2 linked regions of the Mus musculus genome follow. The protein of the gene in region 1 interacts with the protein of each later gene in a biochemical or structural test. Links are inferred from orthologs where the notes say so. Each region holds a gene or a part of one and is shown on either strand. Other genes may lie near its edges.

Region 1 (10,001 bases):
AAGAAAGCTCACTGCAAGTCTGCTCTTCTTTAGTGAGACTTGCTATGTTTGTATTTGATTAGGATTTTGTCACAAGAATTAGATTTTAATCTTCCATTAACCCTAACTTTATAACTTTATTTTGTAATTTCTAACAATAAGATTTGAGAATGTTTATTATCAGATTAAAAAAAAAAACTTCCAAGTGTATCAGGTAAAATAGAAGCAATGGCATTCCACTTTGTGCATGTGTGTGTGAGCATGCATGTGTGTGTGTGTGTGTGTGTGTGTGTGTGCATGCATGCATACATGTTGGGATGCCTGTGCACATGTGTTGAGAAGGGAAAAGGGCTCAGTTGTTCAAGGTGTATTTCTCCTTGTCTTTCTTCAGTGAAGCAAACTGCTATGGCTGAAAGCTATTTCTCTGTGCTATTTGATCTTGAATCCATTACATTTTCATTGAGTTGCTATCTACTTCAAGACAGAAGACCTTTCCAGGTTGAAGAAGGCTTTCTGTTTTCTCTGACTTCTGCCATGTCTTTTGGCTCATCTTTGGCAGAGCGATTCATATGTTTGAGAAGCTGGGCCTCCTCTTCTTATTCGATCCCATCACTTTCTGCTTCTTATATAGAATCAGTTAAGCCTTGGAACTTAGGACTAGGGGCTGGCTTCCTACAACTTTTTTTCTTTAAGCATGAGCCCCTCACAGCCTTATGGTATCCTGTGATGTCACTGTCCCTGTGATCCTAATATGGGCCATCATGACAGGAGTAGAAAAGACTGGTACTCAGGGAGAAAAATCAGTGACTCAGAACAAGTGAGTCAGGACACCAATGAAACAAAGAAGACCCAACAACAAGCCAAAAGTTTATCAACAAACTTCTTTTTAAAATTGCATAAACGATTGTTATTGACTTACATTTCCTGGAGAATAAGAGCACTATAGGCATGAAGACATTTTCTTTTCTCTTGTGCATTTTGCCCAGGAAAGAATAATAACACCCACTGAAATGATTCATTCCCCCCTTGCTTTAATTGCAAGAATGAAGAACACGCCTTACAAAGGTCAAAACTGAGCTTCCAGGTTACTTTAGATTTGCATTAGCTACCCATCATTCATGAATCTTTTATTTCTTTTGTATTTTAAAATGTTGGCAAGTGTTAAGAATGTGGCCTGGAAGTAGAGCACGCGACTCACCGTCAGAATCCCACTGATTCAATACCTAAGCCGAAAAGAAGAGAATGACTTAAAACAACAGGGAATTTCAAAATCCATCTCTGGTAATAGCCTTTTATCCCCTCAAATATTTATCAATGATGTGATACAGAAGAGGGTAGAACTCAGCTCCGTAGATGCATATCTAGGGGCATGGGAATGCTAGAGAGCACACTATTTAAAAGTACAGTACACTACTGTAGAAAGAGTTGTACCCTCAAATCACGAGCCAAAATAAGTTCTTCACCCTCAAGTCACCCCTTGTCAAGTATTTGGTCATAGTAAAATAGAGGCATGTATCAACTAAAAATAATCAAAAAAAAATCCCTTCACATGACTTACAAAGAGAAATTTGGGTAACTTGGTATGAAATGTTGATTTACCTAAAACATAAGGCTCTGAGGTCTTCCAGACCATGAAATGCCTCTTGGAATAAACAGGCCGGAACGTAGCTCCCTGGGAGAGCTCCCGACTCCAAGCTCTCCATCTGATACCCAGCACTTGAGCAGGTAGGACAGAGCTCAGCTCACCTTTACAGGGCTAAGCGCTTAAATGCCAAGAGAAGCGGGACATCCTCGGGATCCCAGCACTCTTGGCAGGGTGGGATAAGCACTGTGAGTTCAAAGCCAGGCTGGTATACGCTGCCAGTTCCAGGCAGCCAGGGAGATATAGTGACATTTGGGGTAGTGGGGATAAGGAAGGTCCTGAAATAATAAACACCTCTCTATGCAAAGAGAGAACGCAGAGCTGACATGGGGAATATTTAACAACCCAAGCTTTACAGGAATCCTACAACCCACAAGGTTGCCAGAAGAAAGCAAAGTCCAGAAGCACGGGCTTCCAGGTTGTTTGAGTTTTGGTTTGATTTGATTTTGGGCTTTGGGGGTGGGGGGCTCCCAATTTTTAAGTGGAAACAGAAGGTGGAAAGGTAGATCTGTGTGCAAGGTATTTGTGTGTGTGTATATGCACACATGTGTGTGTGTATCTATGTGTATCTATGTGTATGCATGTGTGTGTGTGTGTGTGTGTGTGTGTGTTCCTCACAAAGGAACTTGTTGCTCCTTCCTTCCCAGTGAAAACTCTCAAGAGTACGGGTGAATCAAACTTAAGCATCATTATCTATGTGTCATTTGCGAGTGTGTTTGTTCACAGGGACAGTAAGTAATTTCAAGTTTTTGATCTGTCTGGAAAAGACAATGATATATTATGAATGAATTAGAAATCATTACTATGGCAGAAAAAAATCACTGCATATGTGTGACATTCGACCCTTGATCTTTTTGTTTGCTATTGTGTGTCTGAAGCTGAGGACCAAAGCCAAGGCCTTGTGCTTGCTAAGCAAGTGCTTTAGCTAAACACCTAACTACTTGTATTGACCTGTTTATTAGTCTTTATCAAAACAAACAAAACTCCAGTGAGAAATGGAATTCCAGCTCTGATCTCAGAGATGAAGGAAGCAGACTGGGAAAAGTCGATCACTTGCTAGATGCTATGCTACACGGCAAAGTCAAGGCTTGAGCCTCAGTCAATAACTCCAAGGCCCGTGCCTTTAGCTCCGACACTTGCAGGCTCTCCTGGATCTGGATTAGCAGCCAAGACTAAAGCTTCCATCCTTAATGTACAACTTCTATATTTTTGGAACTAAATGTGGCACAGTGCTTGACCGTGGCCAGAGACATTTCAAGGTTTTCCCCCTGGGATGTGCTAGACTTGAAGCTGCCACAGCGGGGAATGAATGACCTTGTTCCCCAGCAGTGCAATGAGGAGGGAGAGCAGACGATCACTAAGTGTCTTCTTTATACAAAAACAGGAAGCCCTCGGATGTGCCAATGTCCTCTACTGCTTTATACACGTGCCTGCCTAAGAGCAGCGCCTAGACGTTGTTTGCAGTGAGAAGATAAGAAAACGCATTAATATCCCCTGCTACCTGGCTCCCGAGCTGACATTCTTAATCACTTTGCTATTTCACCTTGTTTTATAAACCTAAAAGAAGCTATACATAAAGAATATGAACAATACTAGTAGAGGGGAAGGGATAATCAGAAATTCTTTCTCAGAAACAAACTTCCTTCTAAACAGAAAGAAAACTTTGGGGGGGGGGGTGTATGCGTGTACTCATGTGTGTGTGTGCACACGCTTACGTGCACGTGTGTGTGTGCGTGTGTGTGTGTGTGTGTGTGTGTGTGTGTGTGTGTACACTAAGGAGCAAACCCAGGACCTTACCCATGCTGAGCTCCTGCTCCATCACCCAGCTATATCTTCTGTCTACCATTTCATATTTCTCATCAAGCTTTAGAGCCCTGGAAGTTTTTCCTGTTTTTTTATCCTTTTGGGGGGGGGGAGTGTGGGGGGCGGGCATGATCTCACATAGCCTAGGCTTGTCTCAAACCTGCTGTGTAGCCAAGAATGACCTTAACCTTCATAAACTTCTGATCTTCCTGTCTCTACCTCCTGCATTACAGAGTACGCCACCAACCTGATTTATTGAATGCTGAGCACATGAGACAGGGTTTAGTGATGTTAGATGCTAAGTAGGTTTTCTCTCTCTCTCTCTCTCTCTCTCTCTCTCTCTCTCTCTCTCTCTCTCTCTCTCTCTCCCTCTCTCTCTCTCTGTCTCTCAGCTGAGCCTCATCTCCAGCTCAAACTCCTTGTTTTTGAAAGAAAGGGTAAAGACACCATTAATTCTCCCAGGTTAAACGGGACTATATTAACAACAACAAAAAAAAAAAAAAGGGTGACTATCTGATACCTTTACTGCATAATTTCCTAATTCTTATGAGGAAGGCAGGTGAGGCAGGACCTCTCAGAGGACTGGTAAAAGTCATTATTGAAGAGAAAGATCTGGAAACGAGGCAATTCCTTCTGCTGGCCTGTTGTTCAGCCCATGCTGTCCCGTGGGTTTAGCTCATGTCCCGTTAGTCTGCATACAGCCACACAACAGCACTCTGGATTTGCAAATAATAAGGAAACCTTCTTTCGTTTTAGAAGGGCTGGGCTGTTCTGTAACACCTCCCCGACAGCAAACGCACTTTAAACGCAACAGGAACAGGGAAGCACGGGCCAGCACACTGATGCTAAGCATTGCTTTGCTGGGTTAAAAAAAAAAGCATGTAGCCTGAGTTTACAGTGCCTACTTTCGTTTTGAAGTCCAGTTTCCACATGAGTCTCAGTTGTAAAAAGTGGGAAAATCCATTTGGTAGCCACCGCTGTATGTTTTTCAGTGAAGCAAAAAATGTAAACAAATACAGAATCAGATATCTCCAACAAGATAGCGAGGCAGACCAGGAAAGAGAAGAGAAACGTTTTTTAAGATAAATGATTGTGTCCCTGTACGACCAACAACAGAAGTTTAAACACAGCCCTAGCCTTTCCTTCGCGAGAAACATTCACAACTTGTTTTGCCATAGAGGAACTTAAATGTTACAATATCTGGTCAACCAATCAGCAGCTTGCCGGCACCCCAGCACTCTTGCCTCAGATCAGGAAACCCTTGAAGGTACAGTATTTTAAATTGCAAGTGAGATTTCTGACTCTCAGCTGGTTTTTGTTCCCTGTGCTTGTAGGATGGAAAAACAGATGTAAAATCCCTCATGGCGAAGTTCAACACGGGGAGTAACCCGACAGAGGAGGCCGCCACCAGCAGCAGGCCCTTCAAAGTTGCAGGACAAAGCTCGCCTTCTGGAATACAATCAAGAAAGAATTTATTTGACAACCAAGGAAATGCCAGCCCGCCCGCAGGACCCAGCAGCATGCCTAAATTTGGGACCACAAAACCACCCTTGGCAGCGAAACCTACCTACGAGGAGAAGCCTGAGAAGGAACCTAAACCCCCGTTTTTAAAACCTACTGGAGGGAGCCCAAGATTTGGAACACAGCCAAACTCAGTTTCTAGAGACCCTGAGGTCAAAGTGGGGTTCCTGAAACCTGTAAGCCCCAAACCCACCAGCTTGACCAAAGAAGATTCCAAACCTGTGGTTTTACGGCCACCTGGGAATAAACTTCACAATTTGAACCAAGAGTCTGACTTAAAGACGCCAGGACCGAAGCCAGGGCCCGCTCCCCCAGTCCCAGAAAACGAACTGAAGCCAGGATTCTCAAAGGTAGCTGGAGCTAAGAGCAAGTTCATGCCAGCGGCACAAGATACTGACTCCAAACCCCGATTTCCCAGACACACCTTTGGCCAGAAGCCATCCCTAAGCACAGAGGACTCCCAGGAAGAGAACACTTCTAAGAACGTGCCTGTCCAGAAAGGATCCCCAGTGCAGTTGGGCGCCAAGTCCAAGGGCGCCCCTTTCAAACCACCTAAGGAAGACCCAGAGGATAAAGACCATGGAGCACCAAGTTCACCCTTTCCTGGAGTGGTTCTGAAACCTGCTGCGAGCAGAGGGAGCCCGGGTCTCTCCAAAAACTTTGAAGAAAAAAAAGAAGATAGGAAAACAGACCTTGCAAAGAACATCTTTCTGAACAAACTGAATCAAGAAGAGCCGGCCAGATTCCCTAAGGCCCCTTCCAAGCTGACAGCGGGGACACCGTGGGGCCAAAGTCAGGAGAAAGAAGGAGACAAGAATTCTGCAACCCCGAAGCAGAAGGCCCTGCCACCCCTGTCCGTCTTGGGCCCGCCTCCACCCAAGCCCAACAGACCACCCAACGTTGACCTGACCAGATTCCGAAAGGCTGACTCTGCAAACAGTGAGTTGTTTCTCATTGCTGGTAGCTGTGGTTTGCTCACACAACTGAGTGTTTCAGCTCCTGGGGGAAACTTTAGAGCAAGGAATGATTGCATAACTGATGCTCATGTGAGTATAGGGTCAATTTTCTTTTGGCATTTTTTTTTCCGTTGTGTAGGAGGTCTGAGAGAGTAGCAAATCCAAGTTCTGGTTGAGCATTCTGTAAGAAAGGACCTTGGGGTGGGGAGCACTGACATTTTAGGGAGACAATAGGGAAGAAATATACCTATTTAACGGATAGTTGGTTTTGCTTAAGGATAACCATTGCATTTATTCCCTTGGTTGTATTTCATTTCTGTAACTTGAAGAAGTTATGCTGCCCGTTGACAGAGAGAAGAGAGTAGTCTAAGTCAGTACTCTAGAAAGAATCAAATTTGATAGCCAAAGGATGTGTGCATTCTCTGGAGGCATGTTTGATTGTCACAATGGATGAAGCTAATGATATTTTGTAAATAGAGCCACTTACTCCTGTCCTTCACAGAACTATCCAGGCCAAAATGTCAATGTTGTGAAGTTGAAACTCCTCTTCTAAGTCACTTCAAATATCTACACTGTTCATCATGTCCCCTAAGCCCAAGATTCAAATAGGACAGTGGCAGGGATTTTAGGAGACCATGCTTTGTATTCTAGCTGTTTTTGGTTTTTTTGTTTTGTTTTGTTTTGTTTTGTTGGTTTCTTGATTGTTTGTTTGTTTACTTTCCCAAAACAGAAACATCTGTACTATTCCAGTTTACAAAGGAATACACAGTTAGAAAACAAAGGCAGACAATGGGTGCCTTGTTGCCCTTCAAGAAAACCAGCCCCCGGTTTTCTTCCCAAGATGTCATTGCAATGTTTTGGCATGTGGTAGAATTTGATACTGAAAGTCTCGGTAAAGACTTGACACCCTGTGTCTTGATGAGAAAAGCTCTCCCATATTTGCGGTGATTAATATCCTAGCAAATGTTACCCAAGTGCTGTCCATTGTGAGATGGAAAGAGAATGATACTTACGAGAGACGATACCACTGTAAGTCGGATGCATCTCCAAAGTGTCATCAAGAGCAGTGGTTCTCAACCTTCCTAATGCTGCAGCCTTTGAAATCAGTTCTTCACTTTCTCGTGACCCCACTCCCAACCTTAAAACTATTTTCATTGCTACTCCATAACTGTACTTTTACTACCATTAGGAATTGTAGTGTAAATATCTGTGTTTTCTGAGGGTCTTTGGTGAGCCCTTGGAAGGTCAATCCACAAGTTGAGAGCCACTGGTCTGAATCTATGCGTGATGGTACAGGCCTGTGATTCAGGACTTGAGAGTTGAAGGCAAGAGGATCAGAAGCTCAAAGTCTTGGAACCGAGTTAGAAGTCATCCTGGACTACATGAGACTCTCCCTTAAAAAGAAACAAACAAAAACGAGTCTGATTTAAGCAGGCGTAGGCATAATCATTGTCTCTGGAAGATCTTCCCATAGGCTCTCTCTGCCTAGTACAAAGGTGAGCAAGAAAATAAGGTACAGTCTAGGCAGCGCAGGGCATTGTCACCCTTAGACTGTGCTACCTGGTTCTGACTGAGGCCAAGAAGCCATCCAATTCTACTAGAAGTGGAGAAAGATCACAGAGCCAGGCTCCCATAGCGTGTTATTCCCAACACTGGTCTCTTCAAGGGCAGTTTGTCCACAGAAAGTGCTTCTCCTCTTGAGTTACTAAAATGTGCCCAGTTTGATGTGTTTCTCTAACTCAGAATGACAGCTTGCAGGGAAACTCTAGACATCTTCTATGGCCACCAAGGTTTTCTGAGTTCACAGTCCTGTCCCCCCCCCCCCCAGCTCTGACGAATACCCTTGATAACCATGCCTGGCTAGATGTGAAGTTTCACACAGAAGAGCTTTGCAATAAGTGACTTGTAGCCTGGTGCAATTCAGGGCACTGGGCATTCACTTGCAATAAGGTGGGAAAGGAAAGAGACTGTGTGCTTTGGAAAAACTGTTTATCAATGGTGGTTCCTTTTTCAATCTTCTAAGATGTAAGGATACTGATTGGAGTCAAAGACTTTGCAGTGAAGGTAGTGACTTACTCTAAGCAGGGTACTTTTATTGTTGTTCAAGGTAATTACAACAGTGTCCAAATTAACAAAATTCTACGTAATGGTCCAGTTGGCTTTCAAAACTTCAATATCTTTCCCTCCTTCATGACCCCTTTTCCGTTTCTATATTCAGATAAATCTTTATCATTTATAGAGGACTTTTGATATAATACTATACAACCCTACTTTATTTATTCTTTCTAAGCGATGAAATGGAATTCTATTTCAGCACAATTAGGAAATTTGCCAAAGTGTAGCCTTAACTAAGCAGGGTCAGGTCTCTGTGATTGCAGTCTGTGTCCTCATCCCTGTCCTAACTCGATGCTGGCTGCCTTTCAGGAAACATAAGATCCCTTGAAATGATGAAAAAGTGTAAATGGTACCCACAGACCCCACATTCCTGTGTCTCCCTCTGTCTTTCGGTTAAAATCTGTCCTTTAAAGATTTGTTCTCAATGCCCCTGCAGGCTCCATGAGAGCAGAGAGCAGTTGGCTTCCCATTCTTCTCTCATTTCTGGAATAGAAAAAAAAAAATGTGAATTTTCATCACTTTCCGAGGTCTATCATTCTGCAGAGGCATGTTAGTAAGAAGTTAGTTAGTTGTTCTCTGCCCTTTCAGAATTAAATTGTAATATGCCCCCCACAGTTCACTAATTATTTTCACAGATTGGCTGCATATCCAATTACATGGAGCTTTGACACAAAATCATTTTGCACAAAGCATCCACCCCAAAAATATCTTCTCAGCATCTTACCTGGAAACTGTAAGCATGACTATATCACATGGCTTTCTGAATGTGGAGCTAATAAGAGTTTTGGACTCCCCAGTAATCCCAAGCCTTCACTGCCACAAAAAGCTTAAGCTATTGATCATGATCACTGAAACATCAGCAGGTTCTCTAAACTCTCTTTGCTTTTGACTCCATTAGAAGGCTTCTTCCCAGGTGTTCTGGTACTAGTCACCACAATATCTGGGCTCTTGAGCACCGGCCAGACCCAGCTGTCGGTTTCATGTGTAGGAGGTAGTGAAAGCCTAGCAGAACACATTCGATTCAGCCCTCTTTCTTGCTTTATTCTATTGCTAACTTTGGAAATAATCAGTATGGTGCCTTAACAGCTCCAGGAATGAATCCAGGGCCAGCATTCACCAGAGCCCATTAGGATTGCATGTCCCTTCTTGTATTGTGCTTTTGCTTCTTCAACTAGTACAGCTGACAGAAACCTTGACCCCAGGAAGAGTTTAGCAGAGGATGGAGAGATAGTTGAGGGGTTAAGAATACTTACTGTTCTTGCAGGGGACCTGGGATTAGTCCCAACACTCACTTGGCAGCTCACAACCATCTGTCACTCCAGTTCCAGGGAACCCTACCCCCTCTTCTGCTTTCCATGGGCACCAGGCATGCATGTGATACATAGACATAGATGCAGCCCAAACACTCATACACATAAAATAAGATAAATAAGCCTCTAAAGAGAAACTTAAAAAAAATCTTGGTTTGAGATTGGAGCAGAGGTCACCTGGAGCTCCTGGCTTAGTACCCTAAGGCAGAAAAGCAGAGGATCTTGGGTTATGTTAAGCAGGTAACCTGTTTCTAGGAGACAGTGAGACTTTCCTGCACGGTTCCCAGAGTTATCACTGCCTCCTTCAGGTCCACCATCATCTTTTGACATGTGCTTTTGTGATATGACCTCATTGGGTTTGTATGTACTGAAAAAATGCTTTATCTCAGTGTACCGCAGCCTCTCCTACCCTGTTGCTGATAGGAACAGGTCATGATAGGGACAGGGATTCAAGGCTCAGAAGCGACAAAAAGATCCGAGGGTACAGCAGAGTGTTTTCATGGTTGGCAATCCCACTGTACACTTGGAATTTAAGAATGCAGCCTATCTAGAGTTGATCCAAGGATGTCTCGTTGGAATATATTGGGACACTGAATCTGCAGGCAAGGCTCTTCAGCATACAGATGAATCAGAGCTTATGCATCTGTGTGCTTCAGCCTGACCAGGGAAATGAGG
Region 2 (9,913 bases), on another chromosome or scaffold:
TGGGGCCTTGAAAAGTGTATAGTGAGGCCGGGTTTTGGCACCGACTTTGCGTATCATCTCTCCTTCCATATCCCTTAATGAAGTGTGCAACTCTTGTCCTCATTAAGACCCAGCATTGTCAATAAAAGAGTCAATAAACCTGGTTGATGGGGCTGGGATGGAAAGGCTGAGATGCGGCTGCAGCACATCCACGGGGCAGACGTCAGCTCTGCCATGTGTCGTGACCCAGTGTTCGGGGATCAATAACAGGCTGAGGATAAAGCCTCAGGACCTGCCCCCTGCAGTCTCCTCCCCAGACCCACCAGGCCCAGTGTGGGGCAGTGCCAGCCAGCTCCGGCTTTGCTTGCAGTTGTTCCCGACCCCTTGATGTCTAGATGCCAGATGTTCTTGTTTCTTCCTGATTGAGCCCTTTGGACACCCTCTGGATGCATACTTAGCGCCCACCTGGCAAGAGAACATGCAGACAGCATCTCCAAGTAGCCCAGAGGCCAACATGGGTTCCATTCTCTGCATCCTATGTCTGCTGACAGTATGTGATGAGTCCCAGAGGACAGGGCATGCGTATTCTGCATGCTGTGTGGCTGGACTCCATTTCTGGCTGTCCTGCCTCTCTCTAGATACCCTTATCTTATCTAATTATACAAGGAATTTTAGATTAATTTCGTGGCCTCTGCTCCCTAGGACCCCTTATCTGTGGGGGCCTTGTATTTTCACCTTGTCATTCTTTTGTTGTTTGCCTTTAAGGGGTGATGGCCAGAAGGGGATGGCATTGGAATTGGGGTGGGGGAGGGGAGAAGGGGGAAGGCAGACAGATCTGGACCGCTGCCTGTGTGTGGAGACAGCTGGCTGCTTTCTTCCATGTCAGCCACATGGTACCTAGCCACACAGAACAGGACCTGGGCAGGGACTCGCCTGCTGCCAACCTCTCCAGATCTCTTTGATATTTCCGACAGAGCAGTAAAGGACTCTTGACTATCTCGGGTGTTTTTTTTTCTTTGCCTCTCTCCACCTCCTGCAAGACTCCTTCATGTCGTTTCCATGGCTACCCCCAATCAGATTTGGCTTCCTGCGAAATTGGATTTCAAAGGAGGACAGGGCTTCAAAGGAATTTGTCCATTTAACAGAATGTCATTAGGAGTGAGGCTGCCTGCTGAACCAGGGCCCTCAGATGATTAAGGAGGGGCAGCGCTCATGTGTGGAGGCAGGCTTCTGTCTGCAATGAGGAGCCTTGATGCAACATGACAATAGCGTATTGGAAACTGCCAGTCACCAGCACACACCACCTGACTTACACCTCCCTCTACCTCCATCGCTCCCAAACCCAGTCATCCACAGGGGAAGAGATGCAAGGAGAATATCTACCTTGTGCGGTTTTGCTTCTCCCTAGGTGGCAGGAAGCCTGGGGTTCTGTCCTTTGTCAGACAACTCCTGAGCACCTACCCTATGTGACCATGCTGACCAATGTCCTTAAATAAGGGGACGGGGCACTCTGGGTTCTCTTCAGATCCTAGAAACCTGCCTTTTACTAAAGAAAGAGGGAAGGGCTGTCCTTCTTTTCCCATTGCTGGAAGAAAAATGGAGGAAGTTTGTGCACTAGAGAGGGAAGCCTACCGCCCCCCTTTTGAAGAACAGTTTTATGTTTACAAAAAGAAGCATGTGTGTGAGCCACATAGCCTCCATGTTTAAACATGCACGCACCCCAAGTGATTTTAGAGCAACTTCAGTTTTATCTGGGAGACAGCAAGGTAGGAGGCAGCCTACACCCCCTCTGGAGCCTGGAAGAGGCAGCCCAAGCCTGTCACTATAGCTTCACCCAGTAAGAAGCAACACCATGGATTTGGGTTCTCTGGTGACCCCGACCGGGTTCTATCCCTTCAGTTCAATTTATTGCAACTTATAGGTGGGTTGTGAGGCCCTGAAACCAAGACCACTCCTTCTCAGGCGTCAGGACATGCTAAAGGCCACCAAAGTCCTTAAAAGTGAGGGTTCCTAAACTTGAGACTGCATCTTCCTGGGGTGTGTGCACACACTTATTCCAGGAGACATATACACCTGCCCTGTGCCCTTCTGAACGGTTTCTTGTCTTTGCTCTGCCTTCTACATTGAGATCAATATTATCTCCACCCCCAGGCAGATTAACAAATCGCTTACCTTCCTCCCTTCATGTGTTCCAGGACCACTCCCAATCCTTCTTACCTATTATGGGGATAGAATAGAATGAGAGAGGGAGAGAGGGAGAGAGGGAGAGAGAGAGAGAGAGAGATATGCAGGGGTCACATAATTACAGATAATTTTCTACCTGCAAAGTCTCCCCACCCTTGTAAAACCCCGGAGTCTGGTATTTAATACCAACAGGCATGCGCCAGTCCTCCTCTTGCTCTTTCGTATACCGTCCATGCTGCTCTACTTTCTTCAAGGCCTGTTGTACTATAAAATACCAATCAAATAAACAACCTTTGAGTACTTGTTCACTCACAAGCGGTCCACAAAAATAACAAAGGGTTCCACGTACCACTGCCCAAGTTCGTGCTGTAGCAACATCTTTGGTACCTACTACCACCCAAACTTGATCACTGACTGGCTGTACTTTGAGCGGGGAAGGGCACAGCCCTGTGATCTCGTTGATCACTTTCTTCCTTCCTCTGTTCCGAGAAAGAGCTGTTTCCCACCTTCTCTCAGCCTTTCACCTCCAGAGGGAAGGACATTCCCTCCGTGTCTCTCCATGGGTATTGCCTCTGATGCTGAGTCTTTCAAATGTTGGCGATCGGCATTGTCGCTGGGACTCCAGATTTTAATTTCTAACCAGCAGGGCTTTCCCCGACAGTGCGCTGGATCAGAACTGAGGCACTATATCTTTGGCAAGGACCAAGCTCTTTCTTGGATTCTGCCTCTGCACCCCAGTCCAGGAACAGCCATGGCCTTTTAAACCTACAGCCCCAAGGTCAAACTGCTCAGTGTTTAGATGTTTCCGCCAAAACCTAGCCTCCAAGGCTCTTGGGAATCTAGGCAATTTTTTGGTGAGGGGCTCAAAGGGCCACGCCATTGACTTTGCGTGCCACCTCAGTGGCACCAGTGCACCTGCGCCCGGGGTCCCGGGCTCCCGCCGCCGGCTGCGCGCGCCGCTTCCTGAGCGCGCGACCGGCGGCCCCGCCCAGCGCCTCCCCCCCCCCCCCAGGCGACAGCCGAGGTACAGGTGCCTGGGGTGCAGCTCGCTGCGCCCGCCGTCCGAGCAGGCACACGTCCCTTATCCCGCCTTCTGCTGCGGCCGCCCACTCGCTTCGCCAAATGCAGGCTGTCGCCCTCCCGGAGGAGATCTGTTGGCTCCTGGAAGGTAACTAACTCCTGGTTCAGTGCCAGACCTCTGTCCTGACCCATCCCGTCCGGGAGGGCCTCTCAGTGCTGGGCTGAAGGCAAGAAAGGAGACACTAGGGTACTAGTTCTTTAGCCTGGTCACTTACCTACTATAAGTTCCAGGCTTCCAGAGTCCTTAATCCCCCAATTGTCCCCAAAGCCCTAGCCTCTCTCTCATCCTCAAGGTCCCCACCTCTCCCTTGAGTTACATATTTTCTGTTCCTTCTAGGCATCTGTATCACTTCCAGATGCATCAACACTTCCAGGTCTCTAAGGTCTTACGGGTCAGTTCATGGCCTCCCTTGACACCTTGCTTGGTCTTGAACCTGTCACCCCGGGAAATCCCTGAGGTGTGCAGTGATTAGGTCTCATCCTTCCCAGTCCTGACTCCTCACCTTGTGGAAGACCCACACCTTTCTGGGTAGACATCTCCTAGGCACACAGTAGGGCTCTGGAGATTTATGGTCTTTGGGCCAAGCCTGGTGGTTAGGGGACGTCTTATAAGTGTGAGAGTCATTTCCTAACCTGAAGACTTCTAGGGGTGTCATAAACCTCAGAGTATGGTGTCCTTCCCTTCCCTAAGTGTCCTGTTGTGATGGTTTCACCTTTAAAACTGTCCTTTACAGTTAAGGTCACACTTTCCGACACTCAACATACACTCCGAAGAGACTTCCCTGATGGACGGTATCTTGTGCTTGGCTCCCATGGTGAAAATCAGTTTTACTCATTTTCCTATGACTGCCCTTCCCTTCCTGGGAGGACAGAAACCTGGAATCTGCAGTTGCATAAGGGTCTCAAGAGGAAACCGCTCAGAATTAAGCCTTTCGGCATCCAGGCGACACATCTGACACATCGTTAACAGATGGCCTGCTTTGGGCAGGTCATGATTTTGGCAAGCTGCATTCTTTCCAGTTTCTCTCAATTTAATTGGTTTTATATCTCCATTACCTTGTTATCTTGGGTATAAATGCCTCCTAATCAAGGATTTGGCCAGTGCTTTTGGATTCTGTCTGTAGCCCTGTTTCTATTCTGGATAGCGTCTCTGTAAGAGTTGGCGGCTATGTGTTTCTTTTGAGGCGATGTTTCAAAAATCTATTTTAGAAAAAGGTTTTTATCTATTTTTGGAGTGTATTGTGTGGGTGTGCATGTGCCACAGCCTGTTTGTGGAGTTCGGGTGGCAACTGTTGGGAGTTGGCATTCATCTTGCATCTTCTGGTGATGGGGATAGAACTCATGTCTTCAGGCTTGGTGGCAAGCACCTTTAGTCACCACCACCCTCTCTTGTACTTAGGGGATTGAATCTAGAACCTTACACAGGGTCATTAGACATTCCACTACTGAGCTATGTTCTCTAAATTATCTAAAAATCCACTTAGCTTGTAAACCAAGAAACTGTAGAAATAAAGTTATTTGGAAGATAGAAGAAATCACCAGGCATCTAACGAGATTTAGCCAGTGCTGGTTCAATATTAGGTACATAGAGGAAGTTGTACAATTGTCTTTGGTTTTTAGAGAAGGAATTGCAGCCACAAGTTGAATTCTACCCTTGTATTTAAAGACCGAGTGTCTCTTTTTATTGGTGTCAGTCATTTTATGAGAAGAAACCCACTTTACAAGCTTGCTAAATGTCACTTCAGTTTGGTGCACAGGCATCAATAGAAAAATTCCCTCTTATTTTCAGAGGCTAGCAACACAGTCCCCTCCTCCGACATTTTTGATGTGCAGTTCTTTATTGTTCAAAACTGACACTTTGGTAAACAACTCATTTTTGCACCTGCCGCCTTCCTTTAGCTCAGATCGTTTTCTTGTTAGCTGACTGTTTTTAATTGAAGTCTTCAGATCTCCTTCTAAAGCAGAACCTTTGTTTGCTGACAAGCAGAGCCGGGTATGAATGGAGATTAATTGCGTGTCACATACTTCTGTATCAAACTTGCTGTGTCTTAACAATCTCTGATAGTGCGCGGGTCTTTAGAAGATAGGGAGGAGTCTGAGGTTCCACTGTGAGGTGCTTCACTGGTTAACTGTTTCTTTAAAGCCATCCCTCCCTTTAAACGTGTAATTCTGCTCTTGATTCTGAAGTGGAGGGAAAAATATAAAGTGGGATATAACCAATGATTCTATTGAAAAGTGGTTAAAAATATGTTTTTGAAAGATTCATGTGATGATAATAACATATTGGCTATAGGTTTTTGTTTTTAATGGAATGCGGTCTCTATCGTAAAACAGTCAAATGATTCTCTGTGTTACAACTTGTGAATATTAGACATCTAAAATGGCTGTCAATTTGTTGTCTGGGTCTGGTTATACGCCTCCTCCCACCACACACTTCTTAAGGTTCACCGTTAGCAGTTAAGAAATCTGTAGGTCCTTGATCTCTATATAGTCACTCAGTGGGAGGGAGTCACAGGATATGAGCTGTGACTGTGGCTGCCACACAGCACGGGGGTGGAGTTTCCCCAGTGAGTTACTGCTTTCATAAACCAAGTCAGACGCATTTGCACAGTGATTTAATGCCGGCCATCACAGCCATAACTTAAACATTTATCTATTTGTAACAATAGGAGCATAAAATGACAGGGACATTTTTTTGATATAATGTGTTCGCTTTTAAAAAAATAAAATATGCAAGACACTGTGCAAGGTTTATACCGAGATTTTTGCATAATGAAGGTCTGGAATTAATTTTAAGTATAAAATTTTAAACATTTGAAGATGTCTCATTTGACGTGGAAGTCCCACTTCTAGGAATGTGATATAGAAATTAAATATATGTTTATATATTGCAGATGTCAATGAGGTGGGAAAAGTAGGTGATGGTCAATTGGATCATGGGACATCCATCTTAGTTTGCATCAAAAGAACTTGGAGATCTGTGTGTCTGTCTGACGTCTGTCTATCTTGGCTTGCAGTATGTCCATGGAGTGTTTTTAAGACTAAAAAGATGTAATAAACAACAGCACATATAATGATCCTTTTTCTATTTGAAACCAAAAAGCCAAAAAAAAAAAAAAAAGTTCCATATATTATATAGGTTTGTGTAAGCCTCAGGACAGTGTCCTGTCTCTTAGCAGTTTCTTTTTAAGGACAGAGAGACTCACAGGGGTTAATGATTTTTAATACATATATCTCCAGTTGGTTGAATTGTGACAAAAGCCATGTACTACTTCTTTAATCAAGAAAGAGTGGTTAGATAGGTTTAAAAAAAAAAAAAAAAGACAAACAGAAGCCCAGAAGTTAAAGGGCCAGTAACTTCAGGTGTGATTGTTTTTCCTGTTTAGCCATGGGAAGTTGTGTGGAAAGTGTACATTAAAACAAAACAAACAAACAAACAAAAAAAAAAACCCACCTTCTCTGTTGTTTTTCTGGCAAATGACAAAGCTCAGAGAAGCTTCTAGTATCCCAGGAAACAGCCTTTTCCATCGGCTCTACTGAGCTCCCACACAGAGACAGAAAGTGGCCCCGTATCAGTGAATAAGGCACGGTGTAGATAAGGAATGCAGGGCATCTTCCGCTTCATTGAAAGAACAGGAAATATTCAGGACTGTTTTTAAGTAGTCAGGCTTCAGATGTAGCAGTTATCTTTTGTTTTTGTTTTTGTTTTTGCTTTTGTTTAGTGATAACGATGCTGAAAACAAGAACAATAGGTTGGCAGCTTGTAATCTTTGTTGCACAGATATAAACATAGTCTCTTCTTCCTAGTCTTTCTAGTGCCACCCCACCCCCACCCCCACCCCATGTGTGTGTCTCTGCCTCTGTCTCTCACTCTTTTTAAGTAAGAACCAGAGAAGGAGGTGCAGCAGATAGATAGGAAACCTGCTGACTTCACTCTGATCGCTGATAGACCCAGCCGCCTACCCAGTGCCGCCATGGGGCTCAGAAGATGGACTGAAGCCCAAACATCACTGCCTGGCTCCCTAGCACTGGCCCTCATATCCTAATGGTTGCTTACTTTTAAACTTCAGCAGTCGCCCTTGGTGGTGATGCATACCTTTAACTGGAGAAGCAGAGGCAGGTAACTCTCTGTGAGTTCGAGGCCAGCCTGAATTCCAGGACAGGAGGGCTACACAGAGAATCTCAACAACAAACAACAACAAAAAAACCCTCAGCAGTCATTAGCCATTTCCTTCTAGATAGTTCTCCAGAGTGGTAGATCTAGATGAAAGGATAAAACTTCTCTCAGTCTCTCTAGATAGCAAAGGTTCTTTTAAATCGTCTAACTCGTAAACATCTTTGATCAATTCTTTAAAAACAGGAATTAGGAACTTTCCTCCATCTTGTCAACCAGCTACACTGGTCTTGGAATGAGTAACATTTAAATACTTCTAAACTCAGTATTGTTTGGGTGAATGTCTGCAGTTCAAAACTGTTTCTGACTGGGATATTCTTGGTTGCCTTGTGATTGCCTGTGTCTGATTTATTCGTTCATATGGAGCTGGGGACTGAACCCAAGGCCTCATGCATGCTAGTCGGAGATTTCTCTCTCTCTCTCTGAGCCAGATTCCAGTCTGCTTTGCACTCGATATTCTGCCATTTCTTACCCTCGTAGTGAAGCTGAGGCCCTTCGCTATTCTGTTGGTTGGATCTGTGTCGTTGACGTCTCTGGAACATTAGATAATTGAGTATTTTGGAGCTATGTGTAAAAGTAGGCATAAGGGGCATCTTTGGGATGGAGATATAGTTCACTGGTAAAGTGCTTAGCTGGCATTCCAGAGTCAGAGACCTTGGTTCAGTTCCCAGTACTCTCTCGGTGTGTGTGTGTGTGTGTGTGTGTGTGTGTGTGTATATGTGGTGTGTGTGTGTGTGTGTGTATATGTGGTGTGTGTGTGTGTGTGTGTGTGGTGTGTGTGTGTGTGTATGTGGTGTGTGTGTGTGTGTGTGTGTGTGTGTGTGTGTGTGTGTTGAGAGGCTTTTTTCTGTCTACCATGTGGATGGGTTCCAGCAATTGAACTTACATCCTAAGCCCCGGTTGCAAGCACCTTTACCCTTTGAGCCATCTTGACAGTCCAAAGCGGCTGTCTTGATAAACAAATACCTAAGCTCTGAGGCATGGTTTTGTGGTGTGTGTTTGGCTGCTCTGCCTCTTTTTGGCTAACTTTTGATATTGGTGGTCTTGCTGACAGGTGAGTTACTGCTCTCCTGAATCCCAAGTGGTAAAGTGTGAGCTTTAATGTTATTTTTTTTCTGACTAAAAACGTGATAACTTGATGCTCCAGGGATCAAGGATGCTGGGGGGGGGGGGTGAGATGGGGATGGGTGGGTAGGAGAGCACCCTCTTAGAAGGGAAAAAGGATCAGGTCTTCACTCTGGGAGGGGGGACTGGGAAGGGGGCAACATTTGGAATGTGAATAAATAAAATAATTTAATAAAAAATAAAGATCGGAAAAAGGTGATAATTTTCGTAATTGAAAGCAGAAAAGATAGAGTACACAGTTGCCCTTGTCAACAATTGTTACATTTCCATGGGTTTCATGGATTTCTTTTGAGATTGCTGGTGATATAACATTGTTTCTATAAGAAAATATCAAAGTGAGCATTAGGAAATATTTTATTGAGACAGTGTCTCACTGTGTAGCCCTGGCTGGCCTTGAACTCAGCATGTAGACCAGTCTGGCCTCCAGCTCACAGAGATCCACCTGCCTTTGTCTCTGCCTCCCAGGGGCTGGGATTAAAGGTGTGTGAACCTCACCTGGCTCAATAATCTCTCGATTGATTTAAAAATAACTCTAGGAATAAGACAGTAGCTCGGTTTCATTTCCTCTTAGGTCTTCAGCAATAGTTCTCTCTCTCTGTTTTTGTTTGTTGTTGTTTTTTGTTTTGTTTTGTTTTGTTTTTGTTTTCCAGAGACAGGATTTCTTTGTATAGCCCTATCTGTCCTGGAATTCTCTCTGTAGACTAGGCTGGCCTTGAACTCACAGAGATGCCCCAGCCTTTGCCTCTTGAGTGCTGAGATCAAAGGCATGGACAACCACCATGCATGGCACTAACTTTTATTTATTTTTAAACTAAAGTGACCGTGCTTATTTTCTGCTGTAGGCTTACCACTCAGAACAGTGTGTACAACTAATGCCTTAGAGGTAGAGGACACCCATCCAGGATGGGAGCCTATGAGAAAAGAGTGGATAGGAGAACTCAGGGGTTGTGGAAGAGAAGAAATCAAACCAAAGGCAGGAAGAGGCTTCCAGGGCCCCACCCCAGCCACCTAGCTGATGGTGCTGGACAGATGCAGTGACTTACATGTATAATGAGTGAGCACCCATGTAGCCTTCCCAACTCATCACGCTTAGCAAACCACTCCAGACAAATCAAAGCAGTGTCTACCAGCACACACTGGAAACACTAGAATTCAGGCTACGGGAATTCTGTACATTTAAGTAAAATCTCGTAACTGTCCCTTTAAGTCATACATTACTGGTCCATAAAAGAAACCAGACTGGCTAGTTGTGTAGCTTCTGCAAAGTGTCATGATGGTCTTTGGTAGAAACAAAAGCAGCAATTCCTGATTCCTTGTTACAAGTGCGTGCGTGGGGAGTTACCAGACCACTGGGAGTTCTGCAGTCATCTC

Evidence for each region.
Region 2: the proteins of Fyb (region 1) and Skap1 form a complex in vitro, tested with the Homo sapiens proteins (2 studies listed by BioGRID and IntAct, with this or other methods). The link is inferred for Mus musculus from reciprocal best matches to the Homo sapiens genes FYB1 and SKAP1.

Annotation. Positions count from the first base shown.
Region 1 is NC_000081.6:6,575,163-6,585,163, forward strand, and holds the start of Fyb (FYN-binding protein 1), read left to right. Parts: upstream 1-4,684; 5' UTR 4,685-4,758; coding exon of another isoform or gene 4,759-4,785; coding exon 4,786-5,884; intron 5,885-5,890; exon of another isoform or gene 5,891-5,991; intron 5,992-10,001. UniProt on the Homo sapiens protein: Acts as an adapter protein of the FYN and LCP2 signaling cascades in T-cells. May play a role in linking T-cell signaling to remodeling of the actin cytoskeleton. Modulates the expression of IL2. Involved in platelet activation.
Region 2 is NC_000077.6:96,461,420-96,471,332, forward strand, and holds the start of Skap1 (src kinase-associated phosphoprotein 1), read left to right. Parts: upstream 1-3,171; 5' UTR 3,172-3,285; coding exon 3,286-3,331; intron 3,332-9,913. UniProt on the Homo sapiens protein: Positively regulates T-cell receptor signaling by enhancing the MAP kinase pathway. Required for optimal conjugation between T-cells and antigen-presenting cells by promoting the clustering of integrin ITGAL on the surface of T-cells.